Medicago truncatula: one gene and its partner. The main gene of each other region encodes a partner of the protein of the gene in region 2 in a complex. Links are inferred from orthologs where the notes say so. Each region holds a gene or a part of one and is shown on either strand. Other genes may lie near its edges.

The links. The genes of interacting proteins can lie anywhere in the genome.
Region 1: transcription initiation factor TFIID subunit 1 (region 2) and transcription initiation factor TFIID subunit 13 share a complex: the UniProt entries of both Arabidopsis thaliana proteins name them as parts of the TFIID complex. The link is inferred for Medicago truncatula from reciprocal best matches to the Arabidopsis thaliana genes HAF01 and TAF13.

The regions. Positions count from the first base shown.
Region 1 is NC_053042.1:42,954,457-42,958,292, reverse strand, and holds the start of transcription initiation factor TFIID subunit 13, read right to left. Parts: upstream 2,996-3,836; 5' UTR 2,838-2,995; intron 2,091-2,837; 5' UTR 2,070-2,090; coding exon 1,967-2,069; intron 1,884-1,966; coding exon 1,846-1,883; intron 1,733-1,845; coding exon 1,673-1,732; intron 1,571-1,672; coding exon 1,496-1,570; intron 947-1,495; exon of another isoform or gene 210-946; intron 1-209. UniProt on the Arabidopsis thaliana protein: TAFs are components of the transcription factor IID (TFIID) complex that is essential for mediating regulation of RNA polymerase transcription. May be involved in polycomb repressive complex 2 (PRC2) mediated repression.
Region 2 is NC_053046.1:11,046,298-11,049,897, reverse strand, and holds the start of transcription initiation factor TFIID subunit 1, read left to right. Parts: upstream 1-1,071; 5' UTR 1,072-1,123; coding exon 1,124-1,175; exon of another isoform or gene 1,176-1,451; coding exon of another isoform or gene 1,452-1,494; intron 1,495-2,289; coding exon 2,290-2,396; intron 2,397-3,249; coding exon 3,250-3,312; intron 3,313-3,514; coding exon 3,515-3,560; intron 3,561-3,600. UniProt on the Arabidopsis thaliana protein: TAFs are components of the transcription factor IID (TFIID) complex that is essential for mediating regulation of RNA polymerase transcription. Core scaffold of the TFIID complex.

The DNA of each region.
Region 1 (3,836 bases), on a different chromosome or scaffold from region 2:
CATATGCTCAACTCGATGAAAAATAACCTTCATTTTAGTGCATTTTTCTAATAATATCAAAGTGCATCTGCTCAACTCGATGAAAAATAACCTTCATTTTAGTGCATGTGCATCATAATATGTAAGTTTATATCTCAGAACTCCTGGCCAAGTGTAGGAAAGGTTTAAGCCGAAGTGTGTATGAGCCTTTAAGGAACCAGAAAACTAACCTCTGCAAGGAGGCTGCAACACATAATCTTAGCATCTTATGGTGCATTTAGCTTCATTAGTAGCACTTATTAATCCTCAAAAGACAAAGTTCACTCAACCCAAAGTTTGATCAATGATAAGAGATCTAATGTTAATCTGATAAATTGTCCTAGAACTATAAAGCCTATGGAAGAAGGGAGGGAAATCTCAACAAAAATGTACAATCAAAACAAGAGATATATGTACAGCATAATTATGCATGAGTGGGGTCCAAAGGACAGCACCATGGTCAATCAAGTTTAAGATGAGGAAGTTGGCAGCGTATAGTCAACAACAGAACTGTGTCCAGCAGTCCGGCTATTATAGTGCTAACAGTGCCCATATTCATTGTTAATGAATAATGTACCATACAATTACCCTGTTGATCCAAAGAGTTAAGCGATTTAAGGCAAGATTATAGATCCTAACCTCAGATTTGACAGATACATTAGATAACCGATTATTGAACCAATACAGGTTATTTAGGATTAGGAACTGATTCACAGGTTTGAAGTTTAAGAACCATTAATACCGACTTTGGCTTATAGAAGCTTGGGAATATCCTACTTGAGAAAGAATTCTCTGTAGAAGACCTTTAAAGACTCGTATAAAAATTGAATTGGAGACTAATACCAGTAACTAACTAACAACTAACAACTTCCCAACTATTAACTTTAAACCACCATTGCAGGCCACTGTGACATAGCATGCTTATTGCCTGCAATAAGCAAATGAAGACCATATATCCATAAAGGCAGACCAGAAGTGATATTTCTAGCTAATAGAAGTGTAAGATTTAAATAAAGTACTTACAAAAAGATGTTCAATAAGTATAGTATTCTGTGTACAGAAATGTTCATTAGAATTTTAGTTAGCTTTTCTTAGTATTCTTATAACAGTTAAGTTATTCATTTATGGGTTAATGGTGCTTTACCCCCTGTAATATAGGTCATTTTTGGTTTTCCTGTAAAAAAAAAAAAAAAAATTTACAGGGGGGTAAATCAAAAAAAATATTTTACAGGGGGAAAACCAAAAATGACCTATATGACAGGGGGTAAAGCACCATTAACCCTTCATTTATTTAGTTTTGCATTTCTCTTTTAATACATGTTGGGCAGGTGATTAAACTTTTTTAAATCACATGGTTCCCTTGAGAATAGTGACAACAGCATGTATGTAGCATTCCATTTCCAGCAGTATTTGAAGATAAATTTAGATTCTTGTTCCCCAAGATTTATATTTGCAACTTTTATTAACAAAAGAGTACCTTGCGAATCAAATAGAGGAAATCCTCAACTGATAGCTTCCCCCTCTGTGATCCAATATCTTGTGCTTTATGTACCTTGACAAAAAAATAAATAAAAAATCATGTAAGGACAAAGGCCAACCACTCCGTGGCACTTAGACTAAGTTGAACAATTAGATACATTAGAATGATACTTACCAGTTCTGTAATATATTCTACAACGATGTCATCCATAAGCGCCACACTTTCAGGAAGTGGCTAATTCAAGTGGAAAACAAGAATAAGTAAAAGTTCAAATTAATATCATAATCTAAAGAATAAAAAATTTGCAAACATAGTATGAAAAATGAAAAAGTTAGAATGAGAATTACATTAGGATCATCTCCGAAGCCATACATCATGTGCTGCACTATAGAAACCAATGAAGAAGATTAGGAAGACAATAGAAATAACTACGCTAAAATTTAAAAACTTAGGAACAAAAATTATTACATTCTCTTTGGAAAACTCCTCTTCTGCGCTTGGATGAAGTGTCTGGTGGTTGTGAGGAAGCTGCTCTTTGTTTTGATGAGGTTCCGGCGGCAGAATTGCTCATTGTTGTTGGTTAATGCTTCCACTGTCATTTTAGTAACTATAGTTAGAGGAAAGAGGAAACTGAAAATACATAAAACTTGAATTTTTTGATAAATGTGTGCAGGTTCTGCTATGCTTCCTGTGCACACATAATCCTATAGAATAAAAACTGGAATGATGACTACACTTATAGTCATCAAAATGAATACAAATACAACCATCGTATCACTGACACCTCTGATTGAAGGCGTGTCGGGTGTCTGAAAACTACAAATGTGATTACATTCAATTAATTCACTTTTTTTATCACTAGTGTTGATGTGTCAGTGTCAAGATCATGTCTGTGTATGTGTCAGTGTCAAGATCGTGTCTGTGTATGTGTCAGTATTTCATGCAATACAACTAAACTTATTTATTTATGATAAAATTTCCAATTCAGGTATTAACCTTATTGAGGCATTTTGACAAACACCTTGCGAACAAACATGTTAAACAAGAAAACAAACAAAAGGGGTTATTTTTCTGCACCCCATTAGTTTCACAGAATTGTAACAACTAAAATATGCATTTCTCCATTATCTTCAATTATTGTTCTACCAAATCAAGCCCTAATTTGAGAACTTATTACCCTGTTTTCGTATTGAGTTATTATGGGTTATGATGATTTTGCTTCAACAATGAACAAAACAGGGACTACAATTAACCTAGCATTACACAGCAAAATTTGCATGTTTCAAGTAACTGAATCGAACGAATGAAAGAAAGAGCAGTGTGGGTTGGATCTTCTTACCTCGAAGAAACGGCTCCGTTTAGGGTGCGCTACGTTGATGGGTCTCCCACGCTGCGAGATGTGGATTAGCAACGTTTGTAGGTTGTTTTACTGTGCACTGCTTAAGCAATCATAAAAGCCATTTTTTTGTTGAGGGAATTATAAAAGCCACCTTTTTAATTATTTTGTATAAAGAAAAATTTGGAATATTTTCAATTATATTTTAATTTTACGCGGTTTTAATAAGGTTCTCATAAAACGTAAGTGGGCCTTAGTAAGATTTTCATAAAGAACTTGGTCTTAGTAGAATTTTCATAGAACATAAATAAGTAATTGTAGGAACCAAATTTTGTTACAAAATATAAATGCTTAGTAGGGGTGTAACAATTTGGATTGTTAATATTGTTGAATGTTTAAAAATGTTAAATAAAAATTACAAGTAATAACTAGGGTGTTCGCGGTGCGGTTTGATTCAGTTTTACGGTTAATACTTAAAAGTCATATGAACTGTAAGATAAACAGACATGCGTTTTGGTTTAGTTCGGTCGGCTTTTAAAATAAAATCTGAATCAAACCAAACCAAACCAATGTGGTTTGGGTTGGATCAATTGGTGTGGTTTTTCTCATACAATTTTTTGTTTTCAACGTTAAAATCAAGTTAAAAAGCTAGAACACAACATATTTTCAGCTATGTTTTCAACGATGTTTTAAATGTCATTCAACATTACAATTTCATTTTCATCTAACAATGTTCCCAACAACATAAACCAAATTAAAAAGATGGATAAAAAGTTATCCTATTTCGAAAGAAATTCTAAATACTAAGATTTTACATTATCTAAAAGTCCAAGTAACACAGATATATTTTTGAAATAAAAATCAAATAAGAAATTTAACAAAGCAAAAAATATGTCATTTTATAAAAGTTATCATTGAGGCTATGTGAGTGTTTGGTTTAGGTGACAAATGTTTAATTAGTGTTTATCTTATGTTGCGGTTTGATTTGGTTTGGTTCGGTTG
Region 2 (3,600 bases):
CCACCAACAAAATCACAATCACAACAACATATACAATCAAAGTTCAAAGTTCTAACATCAAAGTCCCAATTTTTTCTCTAAAATTTCATCTAGTATTTGTTACCTAAATACTCAAATTAAGAGTATCAATTTAAAATTACCTCGAGTTTAATAAATAAGAGATTTTTTTGGCGGTGTCCGGGATTCGAACCTCAGACCTTGCATATATTATGCATTATCCCTACCAACTGAGCTAAACTCACGCGGATACTTAATAAATAAGAGATGAATGCACACTTTTTTTTTTTGTTTGAGTTTAATAAATAAATGGCTTAAATATGCATTCTGTCCCTGTAATTAAAGTACTTTTTGATTTTCGTCCTTGTAAAAAAAAATTTAAAAACATCCTTGCAATTTTTTTTTTGTTTTAAAAACATCCATGACCCCACTTTTTTGCTGACATGGGATGACTTTGGCCAAATGGCAGTTGCCACATCATTAAAAATATTTTTTAAAATTAAAAAAACTGAAAATAAATAAAAAAATCATAAAAAAATTCCATTTTTTTTAAATGAAGAAAAAATTGGAAATTAGTTTTTTTTTTTAAATCTGGAAATAAATGTTTGAAAAATAAAATAAAAAATTATATAATCTCAAAATTTATAACTTTTGAAAATATAATTTTCAGTTTTATTTTCGAATTTTTTTAATTAAAAAAAAGAATTTTCAGAATTTTGAAAGAAAAAAAAATTTAGTTAAAAGTCAAAAATTTAATTTTCAGCTTTTTTAATTTTTTTTATGATTTTTAAATTTATTTTCAGATTTTTTTAATTTAAAAAAAAATTTTGAAAAAAAATAAATAACTAATTATGTGGTATGCCAGGTCAGTATCATGTGGCAAAAGTTGCATAGTCAGCAATTATAGTTGCACAGTCAGCAACTATCATATGGTCAAAACAATTTAATTTTTTGCAGGATATTTTTAAAATATTTTTTTATTTTACAAAAGAAAAAAATCAAAATGCGTCTGAAATTACATGGACGAATGCCATATTTAAAATAAATATATGAATAAACCATCTCAAAAAAAAGAAAGAAACACAGCAAAATCGCAAATCGCAAATCGCAAACCTGAACAAAGAGAATGAAGCAAGAAACAGCAACACCAGAATCGCAAATCGCAAGCAGGAAGAGAAGTAAGTAATTGATTTGTGTAAAAAAGATAAAATTCAGGTTTGAGATGCCTGACTTGCACAAAAGATAAGATTCTTTCTTCTCCTGTTCAAATTTCTGAATTTTCAAGTCTGTAACGGAGTCCGTAACGGCGTTCCGTATCGGCGATTTTCCTGTGATTTTTGTTCTCGACGTGAAAAGGTCCAAAAACGGTCACGGTGGCCGCTGATACCGTTTTGTAACGTCCGCAATTCCGGTACCGGTCCGTTTTTTGAAACCTTGATCCGCTCAACAACAACATGGGGTATGATTCGGATAATTCACAAGATGGGAGAAACGAAGGTAACTTTGTTTATTGAAGATTTTAGAATAGGAGTATCAGAAGTTAAAGGAACTAGGAGAAAGTGGAAGTGTATGAATGTGAAATTTAATTATAGTGTTTCTCAGATTCAATATTAATTTTTTTTTTTTTGAAGGAGCACTATTAGAAGCTAGAAATGTAATGAAACCCTAGTTTACTCAAATAAACAACTCTGGGCATCGAGTTAAGTAATGATAAATACGAATCAGGAGCAGTGGGACGGAGTTTTCGCTTCTAAATTTTGTGAAAATGATCGATTGATGTATCACCGAGAATCTAGATGTATTTTCTTTGCTTATAATGGATGTTTATGAAAGTTAAGCTTTCTAGTTGCACCGGCACTTTAAGAATAGGCTTAGTCATTAAGGGTAAATCTGGGAGATGGATTTTGGAGGGCTAAGTCTTATATTTTAGTATATATTTGAGAATTTAAAATAGGTGAAAGAATGCCATGGTATATGATCATATAACAATTCAATCACACTTTATTCATTTACATGACATATAACAATTCATTGCACTTCATTATTTTTTTAACATACTTTATAGCTTTCATAATTTAGAAGAGAAAACAAGTCCTCCCCTCCCCTCCAAAATCTCTCCCCTAAACAAACCCTAAAGTAGGATTGACTTGGTGGCATCATTGTTAATTGCTATGTGCTGAAATATGTCAAGCCGTTTGTCTGTGAGTTTGACGCGGTGTTGATTTATTTAGCTTCGTTTTTTTGGTTTATATAGTTCATTAACTCAGTATGTTCAATAATTTGGCTTGATAGATGATGAAGAAGAATATGAGGAGTCTGGCAAGGGTAATCATTTTCTCGGGTTCATGTTTGGAAATGTTGATAATTCTGGTGATCTCGATGTTGATTATCTTGATGAGGTAATTTAATGTGTCCTTTGATGTTTCTGTGAACTTGCTTGTTGAAATGTTTTGAGAACCAAGATCGGGCTTCTGCATGCATATATTTGTTATTTTGCTTGATTGATTCCCTACGCACCTTCTCAGTAGTTTCCTGAAATTTCTAAGCTATTGTAGTATCATCATGATTGGTATGCGGAGGGTTTTGAAGTTGCTAAACTTTTTTATATTAGAAGATTTAAAACCATTTTTACTGTTTCTGTAAAAGAAAAAACCATATTTACTGTTTTGAGATATATTATTTTTTGGGAGGAGGACAGGTTTTTACAAAAACCTTTATTGTAGCTTTTTGAAAAACAAAAAAGGATGCAGTTTGGACATATTGGCGCAGTATGGTTGTCTAAACTAAAGAATTACCTGAGATTCAACTTTGGAAGATTTGATTTAGTAGTGTGCATAGATTCTTATTTGTTAAGATCAAGTGGTTATTTTACAAGTCAAATTGATCTTTATTAAATAGGTTTAAGACTTTAGGCATCATAATTTTCAACTGAGTATAGAGTGCGATAAAAGCTTGCCTTTGTATGTGTACAACAAGATTGATGTTAATGCCTATACTTTGAACTACTTTTAATGATCTGTTGGAGGTTCCAGATCAATTATTCTTTGTAGGATCTGTTGGAGGTTCCAGGATAATTGTTCATTTAGGATTTGTTTTCTTATTTTGAAAAATAGAATTATAATTATTCTTAGAATTATAATTATTGTGGGATGCACATTTTCTTGTTCTGGATCGTTTATGCTTTCTTCATTTGTTTATGTGTTTTGGTCAAAAACAGTAAAATTGGTGCTAAATGAGAATTTTTCCTTTTAGGATGCAAAGGAGCATCTATCTGCATTGGCTGACAAGCTGGGTCCATCATTGACAGATATAGATGTAAGGATATCAAATTTATTATTATTGTATTTTTTTTTTACTGTACATATCTAGATATCATTATCAGGCTGTAGTGTTGAATTTATAAATCAAAATGCTATCTTCTGATTTGGTTAACAAGCGTTAACTGTTAATTTTTCTTTGTATTTTCATTGTCTCCACCTCTTCAATTTTCCTTGATAAGAATGTGCTCTGTTTGCAGTTGTCAGGAAAGTCACCACGAACACCGCCTGGCATTGTTGAACAAGGTGAAGTTGTCTGTCAGGAAAAACTATATCATGCAGTTTT